4 linked regions of the Caenorhabditis elegans genome follow. The protein of the gene in region 2 purifies or fractionates together with the protein of the main gene of each other region. This does not show direct contact. Each region holds a gene or a part of one and is shown on either strand. Other genes may lie near its edges. The genes, in order: C47B2.2, T13F3.6, lys-2 and C30G7.3.

The links.
Region 1: the proteins of T13F3.6 (region 2) and C47B2.2 fractionate together in Caenorhabditis elegans (co-fractionation; one large-scale study listed by BioGRID). This does not show direct contact.
Region 3: the proteins of T13F3.6 (region 2) and lys-2 fractionate together in Caenorhabditis elegans (co-fractionation; one large-scale study listed by BioGRID). This does not show direct contact.
Region 4: the proteins of T13F3.6 (region 2) and C30G7.3 fractionate together in Caenorhabditis elegans (co-fractionation; one large-scale study listed by BioGRID). This does not show direct contact.

Annotation. Positions count from the first base shown.
Region 1 is NC_003279.8:12,961,402-12,966,643, forward strand, and holds C47B2.2 (Phosphoribosyltransferase domain-containing protein), read right to left. Parts: upstream 3,179-5,242; 5' UTR 3,170-3,178; coding exon 3,003-3,169; intron 2,416-3,002; coding exon 2,174-2,415; intron 1,648-2,173; coding exon 1,566-1,647; intron 1,255-1,565; coding exon 1,050-1,254; 3' UTR 641-1,049; downstream 1-640. Other genes in the region: fbxa-140 (F-box domain-containing protein), read right to left, coding at 8-60; tba-2 (Tubulin alpha-2 chain), read right to left, coding at 3,413-3,545, 3,599-4,119, 4,170-4,862.
Region 2 is NC_003283.11:16,269,367-16,273,396, reverse strand, and holds T13F3.6 (T20D4.11-like domain-containing protein), read left to right. Parts: upstream 1-2,175; 5' UTR 2,176-2,187; coding exon 2,188-2,265; exon of another isoform or gene 2,266-2,320; coding exon 2,321-2,428; exon of another isoform or gene 2,429-2,475; coding exon 2,476-2,649; exon of another isoform or gene 2,650-2,916; coding exon 2,917-3,063; 3' UTR 3,064-3,097; downstream 3,098-4,030. Other genes in the region: pacl-1 (Polycystin-Associated Channel-Like), read left to right, coding at 1-3, 435-674; T13F3.8 (uncharacterized protein), read right to left, coding at 899-1,473, 1,646-1,702, 1,751-1,757; fbxa-2 (F-box domain-containing protein), read left to right, coding at 3,859-3,947.
Region 3 is NC_003283.11:10,279,504-10,283,658, forward strand, and holds lys-2 (Lysozyme-like protein 2), read right to left. Parts: upstream 1,972-4,155; 5' UTR 1,942-1,971; coding exon 1,516-1,941; intron 1,279-1,515; coding exon 865-1,278; 3' UTR 804-864; downstream 1-803. Other genes in the region: lys-3 (Lysozyme-like protein 3), read right to left, coding at 2,712-3,062, 3,329-3,534, 3,593-3,941.
Region 4 is NC_003283.11:14,941,362-14,947,570, reverse strand, and holds C30G7.3 (MADF domain-containing protein), read left to right. Parts: upstream 1-1,866; 5' UTR 1,867-1,965; coding exon 1,966-1,986; intron 1,987-2,050; coding exon 2,051-2,117; intron 2,118-3,389; coding exon 3,390-3,487; intron 3,488-3,642; coding exon 3,643-3,762; intron 3,763-4,023; coding exon 4,024-4,175; intron 4,176-4,549; coding exon 4,550-4,868; intron 4,869-4,914; coding exon 4,915-4,998; intron 4,999-5,351; coding exon 5,352-5,396; 3' UTR 5,397-5,441; downstream 5,442-6,209. Other genes in the region: C30G7.4 (Matrix-remodeling-associated protein 7), read left to right, coding at 449-787.

The sequences.
Region 1 (5,242 bases), on a different chromosome or scaffold from region 2:
TTGATACCAATCGTATGGATCCACTTTCTTCATAACTTTCTCCATAACATCAACTGGCATGCTTAAAAGCGTAAGTGGTCTTTTCTTCGATCTGAAAATAAGCAAATTTTAAACTGAATCCGATGCAAATTTCATTTTAACACTAACAATTTAATCGATCCAGTTTCTTTGTCATTTCGACAATTCCACGAGATGAGCCAGTCATTTTGACAAATTACCTGAAAAATAGGAAATTTATTTGATTGATTCAGTTTTCAATCGTTTGAAGTGAAGAAAACAATAAGAAAATACGGATAAAGTGAAATATCTTTGTAAAATACGTTACCTAACGGTAAAATAACAAATTTTCCAGTAAATTTCGTGAAAACTGAAAATTTCTTTTCTGTCTAATAAATTTTCACAAATAAAAATCACAAAAACGACAGGAAAAATGCAAAAACTATGTTTGAAATTTTGAAAATCCAAAAACAATAAACTAGGAATTCTGTGCGTCAAATGAGATGCCCGGTACGCAAGTTGCGTACTCCGAGAACTACCGTAGTTTCGGAAACTTTTTTTGAAACGGCTAATTTTAACTTATTTTATTTTCAGAATATAATGAAAAAAAAACAATTTGCATGCAAAGTAGCAAATAGAATTTGAAATAAAACGTTTATTTTCGTAAAATTTCTTAAATTTGCAGTGAAAATCCAAAAAATGAGGAAAAATCTCACTCTCAACTTTGCGCGTAAAATATAGCGCCCTGTACGCACACCATGTACTCAGAAAATGACTACCGTAGTCATTGCATCTTAAAATAATGTTTAATGAACCGAAAACAACACAAAAGAATTTAGTTATGCGGAAATTCAATGAACATTTTGTCAAAAAAAAATAGGGGAAATCAACAGTGAAAAAGTAAAAAAGAAGACTACAATAACTACAAACTACAAACCAATAACGAGAAATGAAGAGATGATCAAGTGAGAAAAGTGAATAAAAATACTGCATTTGAAACGGAAACGATGTAGTTTGTAGTGTCAAAAGGCTACAAACTACACAAAACTAGTCTAGACAGCACCAAAATAGCTGGTTGAGAAATGATTTGGATAGAGAGATGTGATATCGGAGGCGACGACAGTGATATACGGGTACTTTCTGGTTATATTCTTGAGTCCAGTCGGTGAGATGAATAGGGAAACCAAGTAGATATTCTCATCTGGGACACGTGCCTCTTTTAGGACTTCAATTGCCTTGCAAACTGTCGTCCCAGATCTGAAAAATTGGAAATTTTGATAAAAATGTGATTTTTTAAATTTAAATGTTTCTTCAGTTAAAAAAATTTCAAAAAAAGATTTTTTTTGCACAAAAAAAAACTCAATTTTTTAGACAATTTTTCGCCTTCTGGGGAAGTTTTAGTGATCGACATTTTTAAAGTTTCTACGTCAAACAAATTATTGAATTTTACGATTTTTCGCCGGGAAAATCGATTTTTTGACATTAAATTTTGTGTTTTTTTTCTCAGATTTTTCAATCAAATTTATTTCGGCCAGATATTTTTTGTAGTTTGTAGTCTCTGAGCGTACCCTATCGTTGGGTAGAGCAGTAGAACTCGACGCGACGTGATATCCGGAAGAAGCCTGGCGTAGAGCACTTTTTGTTCGTCGCCTGTAACAAAAAGTGGATGAAAATTGGAAATTTTGCGAGTTTTGAGGTTTTTCTTTTAAAAAAGTATCGCCAGTTTTCGACAAACTCAGTAAAACTCACGATTTCTACCACTTTTCTGGGTAAAAACGCAAATTTTACTATTATATATATTTTTAATATATTTTTCAGGAATTTTACCATAAGAACAGTACATATTTATTACAGATTTAAAAAAAAAAACATTTTTCGGCTGAAAAAACGAGTTTCTCTACGAATTAGAGGTATTTTTGAAGGAAAAGTCAGACTTTTCACAGATTTTGAGGGGTATTCAGGAGAAAATCTATAAAAACTGGATATTCACCAGATTTTTCCATTTTTCAAGCAGAAATCTGCATTTATAAGAGATTCCAGGTAATTTCAGGGAGAAATTGATGAAAATCGCAATGATTTTGGTGATTTTTCGCCATTTTCTTCTATATTTCTCAATTTTCTTCGCCTTTTCTAGGAAATTTCCCAAATTCCTCTCGATATCCTCAATTTCCCGTACCAATCAGAATTTTTCCAATTCGAATACACCGACAACACTGTCTCAATGAAACTTCCATCGCCTCTCCACTTCTACACAACGATACTCCACAATTTCCACGATTAAATTGAATTCCTTCATATTTGAAGCCTGTTGGTGTGGTAACTGTGTGCTCAGTGAATGGAAGATGATTGAGACATTCTTCAATTACAAGCCGCATCAGACGATCCGCGTTGAATACGAAATCCGAGTGATTTGTTGATCTGGAAATTGGAAGATGGTTGAGGCTATGGGGCTACAAACTACAAACTACAAGATTCTCTGAGCCTCAACCAATTTTTACAAGGAAAACTTCTAAAATTGCGAGGAAATCACGAAAAATACCGTTTCGGACCCGGAAATTTATGAAAATATCGGAATTTTGACTCAAAATCCGAGAAAATCCTTGAAAAATTCATTTATATAAATAAATATATTCATGTTTTCTAACAAAAAAAAACGTTTTTTAATCAAAATTTCAGTTAATTTCACGGCAAAAAGGCCAAAAAATGAAAACGTTTTCTATTTTTCTCCTAATTTACTGGCAAAATCGCTTAAAATGCCGTTTCTGACCCGAAAATTTGTGAATTAACGGATTTTTAAAATCTAAATTCCAAGAAAATCGCTTTTTAAGGCAAAAAAGGAGTTTATTTAAAATCAACAAGTTTTTCCGGCAAAAATACCGAAAATCGTTAATTTTTCCGCAAAATCTGGAAAAAGAGCTTGGAAATATGAGTTTTCAGCCCCTTTCTTTAAATTTTCACCCATAAAATGTTTGAGGCTTCAGTCTATTCCCAGTCAAACTTCATACCTATCTTTCAAAATTGTCTGCAATTCAAGTATCTGTGGAGTCTTCTTCAAAAGAACAAAATTTGTTCCCTTCTCTTTCAGATTTGCCACCAACTGCCCGACACCGTCTTCCTCATCACCAACCTTTGGAATCACTGGAGCACATGTTCCATTCACATGCCCAGCCATTTCTGTAATCTAATACTGATCGATGAGCAGAACAAGCGTCTGCTGCTCAAATACTGTCGGCTTGTACATGTTTGCTCTGCGGCACTCAACTCGGTATAAACGTAAAGTGTTCCGACTTTCATTCTTTCTCTTTTTAACAAAAAACATTATATAAATAAAATACTTCATAATACATTGTTTATGACGATCGAACTGCAGTAATAAATTAAAAGTCAATCGCCAGGCAGTTGATTGTGGGAGCATCTAGTACTCCTCTCCCTCCTCTTCTCCTCCCTCGTTGGAGTCAGCTCCGACCTCTTCGTAGTCCTTCTCGAGAGCAGCCAAGTCCTCACGAGCCTCGGTGAACTCTCCTTCCTCCATACCTTCTCCGACGTACCTGAAAAGAAACACATTGAATATTTGAAAAGTATAGTTTAACGGGCAACATACCAGTGGACGAAGGCACGCTTGGCGTACATCAAGTCGAACTTGTAGTCGAGACGAGACCAGGCCTCAGCGATGGCGGTAGTGTTGGAGAGCATGCAGACGGCGCGTGGCACCTTGGCAAGATCACCTCCTGGCACAACAGTTGGTGGCTGGTAGTTGATTCCGACCTTGAATCCGGTTGGGCACCAATCGACGAATTGGATGGTTCTCTTGGTCTTGATTGCAGCGATGGCGGTGTTAACGTCCTTTGGAACGACGTCTCCTCTGTACAAGAGGCACACAGCCATGTACTTTCCGTGACGTGGATCACACTTGACCATCTGGTTAGCCGGCTCGAAGCAGCTATTGGTGATGTCGCTGACGGACAGAGCCTCGTGGTAGGCCTTCTCAGCAGAGATGAGTGGAGTGTAGGCGGCCAATGGGAAGTGAATTCTTGGGTATGGCACCAAGTTGGTCTGGAACTCGTTGAGATCAACGTTGAGGGCTCCATCGAATCTCAAGGAAGCAGTGATTGAGGAGACAACCTGTAAAAAGAGAACATTAGAATACAACAATCAAATTGAGCTCAACAAACCTGGGAGATGATTCTGTTGAGGTTGGTGTAGCTTGGTCGCTCAACATCCAAGTTTCTGCGGCAGATGTCGTAGATGGCCTCGTTATCGACCATGAAGGCGCAGTCGGAGTGCTCCAAGGTGGTATGGGTGGTGAGGATCGAGTTGTATGGCTCAACGACGGCGGTTGAGACCTGTGGAGCTGGGTAGATGGAGAACTCGAGCTTGGACTTCTTTCCGTAGTCGACGGAAAGACGTTCCATAAGAAGCGAAGTGAATCCGGATCCGGTACCTCCTCCGAAGGAGTGGAAGACGAAGAATCCTTGGAGTCCACTGCAGTTATCAGCGAGACGACGGATCCTGTCGAGGACGGTGTCGATGAGCTCCTTTCCGACGGTGTAGTGTCCACGAGCGTAGTTGTTAGCGGCGTCTTCCTTTCCGGTGATCATCTGCTCTGGATGGAAGAGCTTCTTGTAGGTTCCAGTGCGAATCTCGTCAACGACAGTTGGCTCGAGATCGACGAAGATGGATCTTGGAACGTAACGGCCGGATCCGGTGTCTGAGAAGAAAGTGGTGAACGACTCTCCCTCGTTCGTTGATTGAGTTGGCATGGTTCCATCGGGCTGGATTCCGTGCTCGAGGCAGTAGAGCTCCCAGCAGGCGTTTCCGATTTGGACTCCGGCTTGTCCGACGTGGATAGAGATGACCTCACGCATTTTCTTTTCTGAAAAAGAAAATTATAAAGTTTTAAAAGAGAAAGACAATTGTTATATGAGAACGAAACGATTGCGGTGAGAGCAGAGACGAAAGTGAGCCCAAATAGGGCCGAGAACGCACGAGCGCGCGCGCTCTCTCAACATAGCCCAACATCGGACACCGCGGTGGACAAGTCATCGATTGCAAAAAAATGATGACGAAATAGCGGGGCGCCAGTGGAGAGCGGATTGAAATGAGTGCAAAGGAGTGGACTGCAAGGGAGCCAAAACCCCGTTGTAAGAGACCCAGAGAATAACAATGGGAATTTCGCAATTCCCAATGGGATTACTTTGAGTCATTTTGAAACATACGTGCTTTCGGAGATTAATCAAGGAAGATG
Region 2 (4,030 bases):
TTGGTACGATTATAGAGCAAGATTTGTATTTGGTTTTTTAGGGTGAGAATGAGGCAGGCAGAGGGCGTAGGCATCAAAACCTGATGCGACCTTGTAAGTAGGCATGGTGTCCATCTAGATAGATAGGCAAGTGCAGGCAGGTAACAAATAGTATTTTCAAACACAGCCTACCTGTACGAGTGCGTACCCCTGCTTTACAACTGTCTAACTACGTGCTTGCGTTATGTCTACCTGCCTACCTGTGTATCAACATCATAACATTCTACCGACTTTCGAACCTTTAAATGCTCACGTACGCACATGCCTGCCTACCTACCATGCCTGCCTGCCTACCTACAATTGTGCATACCCATGCCACATTATACCTGTCCATTGATTGTTTTGAGCCTACCTGCTTACCTATCATCATGCTTGCCTATCTATTTTGTTTCCAGAAATTGATAACAGACGCGCACACCCTGACAGCCTTCTGCTTTGTAATTCACACCGCCACCGCCTACGTCATCTTCGCCCTCATCCAATTCATCAAGACGTGGAGAATTTCCGAATTCGCGATTCCCCTTATCTCGGACATTGATCAAGCGGATCAAGTGGACAAGGATATGCAAGTACAGTACAGATCGAAAAATGAGCTTTTCAAGAACAACCAGCCAATGGGAGAGAAGGCGGAATAACTTTTTTGTGATGTGATCTGGAATTCAGCTAATGAAGCTATTTGTTAATATATTTATCTTGGACTGTACATAGTTGAAATTCTGCTCAAAATTGCATAAAGTCCGCAATTAATGTATACTTCGATGGGTGGAGAAGCCCACCCCAAATTTTCATCAATCTTTACTTTTTCAAAATACCACATACATTGCAAAAAAAGAGTTCACAGATAATCCAGATCTTCCCATTACTCCTTATCATCATCCTTCTTCTTCTTCTTCTTGCTATCGTCCCAATCACTCGCCACATCCTCCATAGTCGGATAGTCCGTCCTCTTCTTCTTGACTCCATCAGCGATTGCTTGCTCTTTGTCCGTGTACTTTTGCTCTTGTGGCACGATTTCCTCCTTCTTGGGCTTCTCGTCCTCCTTCTTCTCTTCTTTTTTCTTTTCATTATCCTCTTTGTTTTCATCATCTTCCTTCTTTTCTCCATCCTTCTTTTTCTCATCTCGTTTTGAATCATCTTTCTTCTCCTCCTCCTTCACTTCCTCCTTCTTCTCCTCTTCCTTCTTCTCCTCTTTTTTCTTCTCCTCTTCCTTCTTTTCCTCTTCCTTCTTCGGCTCATCCTTCTTCTCTGCTTCCTTGTTTTCCTCCGGTTTCTTCTCCACCTTTTCCTCTTTTTTCTTCTCCTCAGGCGCTGGATTTCCAATGTTCACATTGTTCGTGGTGAGACCAGTCGTTGTCGTCATCTTCACTGTTGACATCTCACGGACTTTTGCCTTTGGCTTGGCTTTGCCCTTCTTCTTACACAAATGGAGAGATGCTGAAAATGTTTTTTCAATTGGCGAAAATAATTGAATCGTTCAACTTTTTCGGACTTAACGGGACCCATAATATGAAGCTCCCTATTTGGCGATGGAGCGCATTTTCACTTCAATTTCAAAAGGATTTGCTTAAAAAACCCGCACTTTGTAGGCTGCACAAAAGCAACTCACCAGTCAATACAGACATCCATATGATCAATTGTAGAAGCTGTGGAAACCAGATTAAATCTGAAACCGAATTATTGATTGAAATTTTGCGAAAAATTTCCAACTCACTGATCATTTCAATAATTGGCAATCGGGGATTTGAATTCCGGTCCAACAGAATCTTGCTGTACAAATCCAGTATTGATTTATTTTTGTAAAACTAATTTCGTCGGCTGCCCCTATGTTCCACTGCCCTATTTCTTCACGTTAACACTAATATTTAATATTTGAAAATTGATATTTAAAAGTTTCCGTGAAAAAAACATTTTAATTTTAAAGTTTAAATTTTATTGATTGTGAGAGAGATAAATTTTGAAGAAATTGCTTTATTGGGACACTGTTTGATACGATTTCGATCAACTATCAAACTTTAACTTTCAATCTTCAATCGAACTGCGAACACTTATCAGACATTACACAAAATCTAGTTTCAAAAAATTGTGTTGATCAGTAGATGATAGCAGTATAAAATGGGTCTCCACCATTTGTAAAATGAAAAATAAACCATGATTTCTTTTGGTTTTATCTTGGTAATTGGTCTTCCAATTTTTGCGACAGCAGCTACAATGGATGATTGTAAAACTGTAAGTATGCCTAATACTAATAGTGAGATTTTTTGTAAATTCATTAAATTTTTAGATTGGTCTAGGCTTGGAGCCAATCATCAAGTCGATAAATGTTACAGACCGATTTTTCTGGCCACCGGAGACATACAAAGCTTACGCAGATAAATGTGAAGAAATTATAGTAATATTTTTTCAAAAATTAAGAACGGAACAATGGCAAAATTTCAGAATTGTGTAAAATCGGTGGACGCTTCCCTACTAGACAAGTTCTCAACCAAAGTGAGCCCTTGCCTATTCTATATTTTCTACAATCGCGACTTCTCAAATTGCGCCAAAAAGCTGATCGCGAAGAAAGATGACAATATTTCATGCCTCAACACACTTTTCAATGATGTTCACGAGGTATGCAAAACTGTAATCATGCAGGCTCCGAGACGCCTGCAGCGCCTGCCTCGCCTTCCTTCGCCTGCCTCACACCGCAATCCGCGTCCTATAGTGCTGCGCGGAGCTCAAAAAGTGTCGAGCGCGAACTTTTGTTTCAAGCAAGAATGCAGAATTGAGGTGTGAAGCCGGCAGGTTTTTGGGCCTGTAACCGCGCCTGTCTACCATGAAAGCTCATACTTTTTAATTTCAAATATTCGATTGTTCTCACAAAATTGAAATTTTCAGCCAGAAGTAGATGAGTGCGATCAATGGGACAGTCTTCAACCATGCATTAAGGAAAATATCGCAAATTTGTGTGATGACCAATCAGGAAAAATTCAGGAACAATATGTAAAACAAACCGCTAATTTAAGACCAGAATTTTGTGACTAATAGTAAAATGTTGAATAAAACTATTTTAGATTTCAAATAAGTTTTCCGCGCATTTTGCGCTTTATTATTTATTCGTTTTTTTTATTGATATACCAGCCGTTCGCACGCGCAAGGCGCGTGCTCCGACTGGCGTACGCTAAATTGTTTTAATAAATTTTAAAGTGCTAATGTAACATTTTTGTACAGTCATACATTTTCCTGGAGTTTTGCGGACTTTCAAGAAATTCTAGGACTTTCAAGATTTTTTTCAAATTTTTTAAGCGCTTTGAGATTCTAACTACAAAAATTTTCTAGGTGCCGGAAGCTTCCAGTTCAATCAAAAAAACTGGCTTTCAGGCATAAAAATGGCCGAATTTTTATTGGAGATTAAAAATCAATATCCCTTCATAAGCCAAAACAACGCAGACTACAAAGACTACATAGACTACAAACTATGCACTGTATTTTTAAATATATAAGTATTGATAACTCAACCTATGACTCTTTAGACATTAAATAGACTTACTACTGATTCGAAATCTACAAGACAAAAAAATAAGAGAGAGAGAGAGAGAAAACAAACAGACAAACAGTTTTTCACTTGGAGTACTCGTTCTCTGCCAACAAACTTGACGCGTCTAAGTCTCTCAACAACAAATACGATATTTTTTTTCACTAACCCTCTACATTAACGAACAACTTTTGCCGAAGATACATTATGTATTACGAAACTTTAAATTTTAATTCAGTCTGCATACTTTTTGTATTCATCTGGTGATTTTCAGCAATTATTCTGAAAATTTAATGCGTTCAATAATGTCCAACAACCAAAAGCATCCGACTTTGCTCAATATGCCTCTGGAAGTCGCTAACCAAATTTTGGAGAAACTTGAGCCCATATATCAGTGAGTCATTTTTGTGTCCCAAAAGTGGTGCAATATAATTTAAGATTGATTTTCTAGAAATTGAAGTTTTCTGTAACATTCTT
Region 3 (4,155 bases), 6.0 Mb from region 2:
CTCATATCTCCGTAGATAAATTTTTTACAGAAAAGTCATCAACTGATAAGTTGTTGATTTTGTTGTAACAAACAAGTTTGTAATTAAAAGTTTTTTACCACAAAATTTTTGTTTGAGATAAAAGTGCGTGAAGTGCGGCAACTGGTGTTGTTATTTTTATGCTGCTATTCCGTTTCTAATGATTTTCTCGCAAACAAAAATTTTTTGGTAAAAAACTTTCAACTACAAACTTGTTCTTTACAACAATATCAACAACTTTTTAGTTGATGACTTTTCTGTAAAAAATTTATCTACGGAGATATGAGCTACCAAAGTGAAATTCGAAAATTGCTTCGTTAGATCGTTAAAGTTCTTCCTTACAGTGCTATTTTAAGATCTTTGAGAGCCCGCCGTGAGCTTGGTTCTGGAGTTTTGCCGCTAAAAATTCACGAGCAACCGTTTTAAGACATGCACTATCGAATGGCATTGGTCTCATATGCAAGTCCGATGGGCAGCTTCTGACGGTTCCCTAGTCAGCCGTGACTCCAGTTTATCTGAGAGGGTATAGGATAGAATATATTCAATATTACCCGCGTGGAAGGCTTGTTGAACTCAACGTAATTTGAAAAAAAGAAATCATTTGTTCAAAATAATTAAATCTGAAAATTAACATACGAAGATGTTTTTGCACTTTTTAAGTTGCATTGACACCTAACGATAATATGCATTTAATCGCTTTTTACGCATTAATATCAATGTGTTTAACTTTCGTGACTTTTAGACTTTTTCTCTCCTTCAAGAAAATTCTTCTGCCGGCAAAATGATAACAGATGATAACAATTTTATTTGGGAAGAGATCATAAAACCGATAATAAGTTTAATAAATTAGTTTCCGACAAATCCTCCGACAACAATCTTTTCACCATCTGCCATATTGACTTCAGTCTTTGGAGCAGCAGCTGGAATTCCAACAGCATACACGTCACGATTCACAACCAAATTACAAACTGTTTCAACTTGAGCATACTGCTTCACTGAAGCCTTCTTGAATGGGCCGAAAGCACGGAAATCAGCAAAAGTTGGCTTTGTCTCTCCAGAAGTACCACCTCCAAGAACATTCCAATACCAGAGCATGACATTAGAATTGATATTCGCCGAATTTCCAGTAATCTGGCTCCAGTCATATTGGTTTGTGTAAATTCCAACAGAGAGACCATATTGTTGAGCACGGGAAATTATGCTGTTGATAAAGTTGACGTTGGCAGTTGGATTGTTTGGCCAGTTGGCAGGGGAAGTAACCTGGAAAATTTGTAGTTTAGGGAAATAATTATTTAAATATTATGTTCGATTTTCTGAAAGATAAGAAATACACAAACTCGTGAATGCTTGTGAATTGAGAGGAAGTAATGATAAAATACTTTTGAGAAAATTCATAAATAGAGGAGCAACTCTCTATGAAACTGAAACTATAGTAGTACCAGCCTCAAAATGAACTTGAGGGAAATTCTAAATTTAAACTGTGTCTGAACTACTAACCTGAATCCAGACTGATCGGATAGTGATTCCATTATTGTTGAGTCCGTTATAAAGAAGATCAAGTTGTTGGTATCCTTGCCAGCTTGATATTGGCTGAGGAGTCATGTATGTCTCAATTCCCAATCCAGCTGAATAAGCATTTCTGATATTTCCAACACAATTTGAATCAAAAGCTCCATTTCCAGTTGGAACAAATCCACGGAGGAATACAACTTGATATTTTGCTTTCTTCAAACAATTCATTACTTGGACATTTGTTGGAAAGGAAAAATCGACAGCATTTCCCATTGAAGCGTCATTGTTAACAATTACTGGAGCTTCATTTGCTTCGGTATTTGCAATCGCAGCTTGGTTCGAGTCGATTTCTTGTGGTCTCGCAGAAGAGAGAACAAATAGGATAGTAAAAGAAACTAGAAGCTTGATCATTTTACTGATCTATTTCAGTGAAGATAAAAATTGTGGTTTTCCTATCAGTTTATATACAAGACGATGAGCTCTTTTCAGTGCACAAAATGACGAATCTCTCTGAAATAAGATGGGTTTCTTAGTCAGTTGAAAATGTCAACAGTGGTTTGGCTTCATTTTCTGAATTAATGAATGATAATTGATAAGAAGGCAAGAATACCAGTGCAGACTCTCTGTTGTCAATTAAAGTGATGTGATGAAAAAGAGGCCAAAGATAGAGAAAGAAACTTTCTACATGTTCCTTTACACAACATCGTCAGTGAGGATATTTCTCGAAGTTTTAGAACAAAGAGAACAACAGAGAGATGCTTTTTGAAATTCGGGTTTAAAAATGAGAAATTGTAAATAAATTTCAATGGATCCCCAAATTATACGAAATCTAGTGATCCCACCTCAAATGTTGTATTCAGAAAATTTGAAAGTGATTTCAAAAAATTAGTTTCCAGCCGCTGCAACATGGATAAGTTGGACAAATTTCAAATGTTAACTATTTGTAGGTAATTTTTGTTTTCAATATAAAGTTGCATTATGAAATTCGGTGTTTTCAGACAATTTCGAGTCTAATAAAGCAATAAAAATTTCGGCGACACCATTATTAATAACAAGTGTATTTTTGTGTGTTGATAATTTTATCGTTAAAAAGGTTATCGACAATCACATCGGAAATATTTATTTTGTATTATGCTTTCTGGTATCAAAGATTTAGTCGACAATTCTCATTCCTTGGATTCTCAAAATCCGATTCCACCAACACGAATCAATTTCTTCTCCGAACTCGAATTTTCTTGATGAGTTGAGAAGTGTACAATTTGAGACAAGTGTTGGTTTCCGGTGGAATACACATTTCGGTTTACAATCATTCCACAAAGTTTTTCAACTTGTCCAAATTGTTTCACAGTGGCCTGTCTCCATGGTCCAAATGGACGGAAATCTTCAAGAGTTGGAGTAGTTTCACCATCAGTACCCATACTCAGAACATGCCAGTACCACAAGAAAACATCAGAACTAAACGTGTTCCAGCCTCCTGTGATTTCCAACCAATCATAAAATGAAGTGTAGATTCCAACTGACAAGCCCAGATTCTGAAAGTAATAAAGTGAATAAGAAGTTGTTCTTTGTGATCATGATCCATGCTTCGAAAATTAAAACTTCTAAACAGTGTGAGTCAGAAAATGTACATTCCGCTTCAGCAAACAATATTCGTGTATGTGATCAACTTAAATATAATCGTCCTATAAACGTCTCAGGCGTGCCCCACGTTCAGAGGCGAATTTCGCGGAAATTGTTTTACTGTTGTTTTCCATGCATCAGGAGCTTCAGTTTGTCTCGCTAATGTTTGGTAACATACCTTCGCACTTCTAATCATATCTTGGATAAACTCAATTCTCACAGCCATTGGTGCAACCCAATTTGTTGGAGAAGTTACTTGAATCCAGATAGATCTAACATTAATTCCATTAGCAAGCAAATTCTGGTAGACCAGACTAATTTGGTCTGCTCCAGACCTTGTTGAGTTGATGTTTGGAGTGATGTAAACTTCACTTCCAAGTCCAGCTGAAAAAAAAACAAAATGATAATAATAGGATTATTTTGTTTATTTAGTCAATCTTACCTTCAAATGCATTGTTGATTGTATTCAAGGCATTTCGATCAAAATAAGTATTTCCAATTGGATTCAAAGCTCTGACAAATACAGATTTATAACCTTGATCTCTCAAACAATCCATGTCACTCGGAGTTGTGTGAAATGAAATGTCAACTGAATATGCATGAGTTGGGGAGTTTCGTTCATCATATGGAATTGCTGGAGCATCTTTCACTTCAGGAATATTATAATCTGGGTCAATCACTTGTTCAGAAACTTTCTGCAGCAATCCAAATGGTTCTGATACATTCGTTTGAAGAGGAGCTGGGAAAGAGTAGCACAATGTAATAGAGACTAGAAGAGCGAAAAGTTTCATTTTCCGAAATGATAATATTGAACTCAAGAAAGCATTTATACTCGTTTTGATGTCGCTGGTTGAGTAATCAAGTAATAAAGTTGTATTTTTAGTTGAATGTGGGCAGACTCAGAAAACAAGCATTGATAACAATGGGGTTGAGTCACTCAAAAAATACAGAACGTGAAATCGAAAAAGGAGCTTGTGAATGAAAATAGATGAAACAATACTCTAT
Region 4 (6,209 bases), 1.3 Mb from region 2:
CCCTGATGCATGCAGCATTCTTTTCTTTTTTTTCACATTCTCAGTAACGTTCCCCACATCACAATGAAGCAATGCACCTACGAAACAATTAAAGAATTTTTTCACTTGCAGGTAGCCCTCAAAAGTACGAAAAAAAAATTGAAACCAATGTTTTTCTCGCCAAATAATTTGTTTCATCGGGAAAATAATAACGAAAAAGTTTCACAATTAAATATTATTAGTCACATTTCCAAAATAAATCATCATCAATTGTTTGCGATAACAAAAAAAACTTCGGAATTCTTAACACCTAGAAGCAGCCGTCTGAAAAGTACAAAAGCTATTATATTTATGACAAAAATGACATTTAAAATTGATTCTATATTTTCAGAAGCTGTAAGTTTTTTCCAATTCAAAAACATATAGGATACAAATGATTTCTACTTCAAAGAATTCCAGAACTTCAAACATGGCAGTTTTTGATTTCATCATTGGTTTCGGCTTCATGTTAATTGCTCTTTTTCTCATTTTCCTATACCTCAACAAGGATGGGCACATTTCAATAGCTATCAAAAAAATATTAACGAATTCAAGACAAAAGGCAAAAGATTTGAAGGATGGTTCAACATCCGACCCATCAAAAACGACACCAGCCGCACCTGCATGCTCTCCAGTATCAAATGAGGAAATAACAATACCCTCAGATGTTCAATCGGTGAATAATACTTTATCAGAAATTTCATTGTCAGAAGCTGAAGTTCAAGTTGATGAAGAGAATCCAAATATTGTGAAAATCCATGTAATTTGATGACTGTTCGCATTTCTAGTCATCATTTTGAAATTTAATAAACCAATGCGACATCGTAGTTTACTTCACCGTTGTCAATTTTTGTAGATGTACTGAAAATGTGTTTGAAATTTGTCCAATTGCAAAAATAATAATTAAAAGCTGACAATAATCATCTATTGTTCACAATGACGAAGAAATTCTAAATGCTTCTTACATAGAAGCCGACTGATAAATATAGAACTATAATATTTATGACATGATAGCATCCAAAATTGTTTCTATATTATAAAAAGCTGTAAGTTTTTTGTTCAATTTGATGGGATGGCAGCAAAAAAGTTACAATTCGACGTTAAACCATCACAACCCAGATTGACCTCGCAATGAAATATTTGACCAACTGTAGATTAAAAAACATATACCGTATTATTTCTATTAGTCTTGCACCAACAATGCTTAATTCCGAGATTTTTAGAAGATAATTTAAGTTATTTTCGTAGCATTAAGCCATATTGGTTATCATGATATCTGACTCAAATTTGGTGTCTTGGCTCTATTCTCGTGCAAACACCAAAGTCGCGTTAAAATATTTCATTAACCTAGGGAACTGCCACAAAAGTTGCACACTTTATTATCCACGACAATTGATTTCTTGGCTTTTGTGAATAAAAAATAATGTTTTTCGTAAATGAAAAATTTCAAATGATGGATTTTCCGGAAATTAATAAAAAATTATCAATTTTTCAAAAATTAAAATTTCATATTATCGACTTTTCAAAAAAAAAAAATTAAAACTTCACATTATCGATTTGTCAAAAATTGAAAATGGCAGATTACCGATCATTCAAAATTTATCGATTTTTACAGGAAGATGGAAAGTATGTAACTCTGAAATCTAATGTCGTGGAAAATGGTTTCTACTCGGGAGTCTTATAGATTTTTTCTCATTAATTTATTGATTTTTGTATTGTCATGATCTCAATTTGAAAAAAAGAAAGAAAATGTAATAATTATCGATATATTTTTTTAAATAAAACTGTTTTTGAAATTAAATCTTCACGTGGCCTTTTCGAATTTTGTTATTCTCAACAATAATCGATAATCCGTGAGATTGATAAAATCGATAAATTTCAATTATTTCTCACTTTTATACTCGTCAATACCACATTTATTACTCGCCGCTTATTCACATTACTCCAATGAACTGCAGACAATCAAAGGTGAGGTGCACGAGAAATGCGCCAGCATTTGCTTGCGCAATTCACGATACCGTATATTTTTCAGAAAAATTCTCACATCTGGGACAACGTCTGTACCGCCGGCACTCGTCGTAATCCGTATTACGTCTGCTGTGAGTTTGAGAGTCGGGAAAAACTGATAGTTTTTGTTGTTTCTGTTCAAAAATCGATAATTTCTCAAAAATAAATATTTTGAAAATTTAGAAAATATCGATTTTTCCGTAAAATCTATATTTTACACAAAAATTTTCACCTACGTGTAATTATCGATTTTTGTTCCAGAAAAGAGTTAAAATTAAAATTTTCGAATTATTGATTTTTTTGTTGGTAAAAATAGCATACAGGGTGGGCCAAAAGTATGGTAACACATGAAGCGCTCTTTTACATGAGCTTTTCGCGCGACTGCCACGTCATACGTACATTCTTCTATCGAATACTGATAGCTGAATAAATTTCCTTCAATTTGACTCAAAATTTGTAATGTTTCCCAATAAGGTGCGATCTTTATCACCTCGACAATTTGGCGAACCCTTTCGAAAAAACGGTAATTTGGCACGCGGCACTTCCCACACAAACACACCTCCCACGCACGCCAATAATTTTCAGATGTATGATTTTTATGTTAAATTGAAAGTTAAAGAAGTGAAGAAGCGTTTTTAATTGTTTTTGTAGCATATAAAAATGTTCTGTGTCGACACTGGCGCCTAGCAAGAACCTTTGTATATTTCATGAATTCAACTTTGCGAAATTTACTCAGTTTTTTTGGTTTCGCAAGGCGTAACGACCCACAAAATCATCCGAGCTCAATTTTCTAAAAAAATTCTGGAAAGTCAGGTCAAAACGTCTCGAAAAATACTAAAATAAATTTATCTGAATACTGCTACTCGCCGCTCACATCCATCTTTCTGGCGACTATGCCATTCAAGACTTAACCTACTGCCGCAGTCCATGACAGAAATACCGTGATAGAAAATATTTTGATTTTTGTTTTTAAAGAATCTCTAGACCAAGGGCATTCTTTGAACTATAAAAACTTGTAAGACACTTTATGGATTCCTCAAGAAAAATGTAGAAATCCCGCAGAATGCCGACTTGCGTGCCATAAAGATCGTGATCTCAAAAGTTCTGAAGGCCTGCAGCAATGCGGATGGATATATTTTGAAAATTCAAAACGTTCATCTGGTCAGTATTTTATGGAGAACAAAACTTGTACAAATTGATGTAATAACTCTCTCCACTAGTAAAGTTATAGAGCTGCAAACGTGTTACCATACTTTTGGCCCACCCTGTAATTCCTAAAAATCAATACTTCGAAAATATTTTTGATTTTAAGTAAAAAGCGATATTTTTTCACGTTCTTTTTTTTGATTATCGATTTTATGCAGACGGCACCACCGGCTCCACCACCTCATCACTGTCAATTTTGGAATTTTCACGTGAACAAATCACCGTAGTGTCGCCACGTGTCAAATGTCCCCTCAAGGTGAGAATATTGGAAAAAAATCATTTCAAAATTTGATCGCTGTACAAAATGCCATTTTTAACAACTATCTATCGTCAGATTCCGACCGGAAATGTATTGATTTTTTGATTTTTTGGACTAAAAATCAATAAATCAATATATATTTTTATTTTCAGCAAAAAATTGTGGAAAAACCGAAGAAAAGGAATGTATATGTCACGAACTGGGATCGTGCAGCGGCGGAGCAACCAAAGGCACTTGCCACGTGGATTTATCAGCCATTTGATAAGAGAAAGGTGGGTCGAGAATTGCGCCAAGGCTCTATCATTTTGTTGGCTTGTTGGACATCCTATCAGAAAGACATACCTGAAATTTCAGTTCGATAAGACTATTTTGAGCAGTGTTACCAGGCCTTGAAGTTTCTTATAAGATTAATCGACCGCGTCGCAGGTTGTTTGCTTTGACTAGTTGTAACTTTGCTCCCAGTGGATTGATTTGAAATTTTTTGTGTGGCTAGCTGTGTATTATTACGTACATTCAATTCAAAAAATTTTCAGTACAACAACCGCACGGCATCCGACGCCTTCGACGCCTACCAACACCGCCTGAAACTGAAAAAACTGCCCGAGACAAAGCAAAAAGTCACAAAAACCACCAAAAGACATGTGACTATCAATGAAGCGGCGACTCAAGTCATTCAGGATGTGTGGTGAGTTTGCACTAGAAACGCGCCAAGGCACGAGTTTTGCGTTAAGGCGTTAACAGTAGTATACATACATACATCAGAAATCAATACAGAGAAATCAATACACAGCTCTACGAGCATTTTGAACAATTTTGAACAGTTACGTAGATTTTGAACAGTTACGTAGATTTGAAGTATTGAGAAAAACCGCGACGCAGACTAAAGTTTTGAACCACTGTAACTTTGCTCGCACTGTTCGAAGACTTTCAAAATTTTTTGTGAACGCTCCCAATGTAATTGTTAATATGATGACGTCATCATTGCTCCTTGGCGTATTTTTCGTGCCATGACGCAATTCTTGATCATTAAATTTGAAGCCCTAATTTTCCTAGTTTCAGCCACCTCCAACCGAAATCCTACCAAAAAATTCGCATATCAAATTGTCGAAATGATGAGGTGAAAATCGATAGTTTCTCTGCTAACCGAGTTCCAAAAGACGATGATATTGACGACCTGAACGTGAATGTTCCAGTTGAAGATGATGATGACGTGGAACTCGATGACGTCATCCTTGCTCAAAATCCGGCGTTTTACGGCACAATTGAAGCGGAAAAGTGTGCAGAACGAGTTGCCGCACATCTATCGATGGCCTGTGAAAACATGGAACGTTTGCAATTTGTGACGGAAGCCGTGTATCCACAGAGCGCCGCTCATTTGGTGAGTGATTGCCTAATATGGAAAATAAATATTGATTTTTTTGCAGAAGAAGCTTCAAGAAATCGATGATGACGTCAAGGATTTCAATTGTCAGATGAGACAGCGTCGTGTCAAAGCTTCGAATCCAGGAGTACGTACTTTTAAGTTTCTGTGTGAAATTTCATGGCTGGACCGCGACGCGACACGAAACTCATGAAATTTTTGAAACTTTAGCGTTTTAATTCAGAACATCAAATTAGATGAAAAAAATGAACCACAGAAAATTTCAGAGCTGTAGCCACATTTTGAGCAAAGTTAAGGTGGTTTGAAAGTCCTAGCGACACACGACGCATGTCAAAACTTGCAGTTACCCTAACTTTGCTCTTAGTAGACACAGAGCTCTGAAATTTTTTGAGCGTGCTCCCCATGCAATAGAAAACTTGTTTGCGCAATTTTGGTGCCTTGCAAACACCATAACCGTGTAAAAATATTTTATTATTCCAGGGAACAGTCACAAAAGTTGCACACTTCATTATCCACGGCAATTGATTTTCCTCGATTTTTGCGAATAAAGAATTTATTGATTGGATTTCCAATTTTTTAAACCTTTTTTGTAGTCACCTAACAACCCGGATTTTCAAGTAGATTTTTAACAATTTTCAGGAAAGCGAATAACTGGAAATAATGCCTAAGTGCCTAAGACTAAGCCTAAAAATGAGCCTAAGGCTAAACCAAAAAAAATCCTAAGCCTAAGCCCTGTGACATAAGCCGGCAAAGTGAAGCAAAACGGCTTGTTTTTTGCGCTGTTATGAGCTTCATTCTTATTTGTTAGACCTTGTGTGTCCCCAAGCCAAGCTATTTCGTCGACATGATGATAAAAATTGGTTTTTGATTTAAACGAATTTTTTGACGCCATACTTATTTATTCGAGAAAAAATAAGCATATATAAAATAGGAAATTCAACAGAGAGTCAAACAAATTAAACGCTTTTTCAAACTGAACTTTCAGGAAAAATAGCAATACGTTTTATCTGAAAAGGGTTGTTTGCTATTATATTGTTTTGTTGCAGAGAACTTATTAATAATATTTATTTTTAAAAAAACCATGTTTTTAAAATTGAAACCAGATACCAAAATAAAAAAAAAGAGAAATATAAGCATAATGAAAAGTTAGGAGAATTTCAGCAGTTTCTAGAAGGATTTGTGGAAGTCCATGTGCTGACTGAACCGACGTTTTGGTCGACTTGAATCCCCACTTGCTGGCCTGAAGTCTCCGGCGATTCCTCAGAATTGTTTGATTTATTATCGTGTTTTTTGAAGCTCACGAAACCGAGAAAAGTTAGACAAGCTATGAGTAAAGGG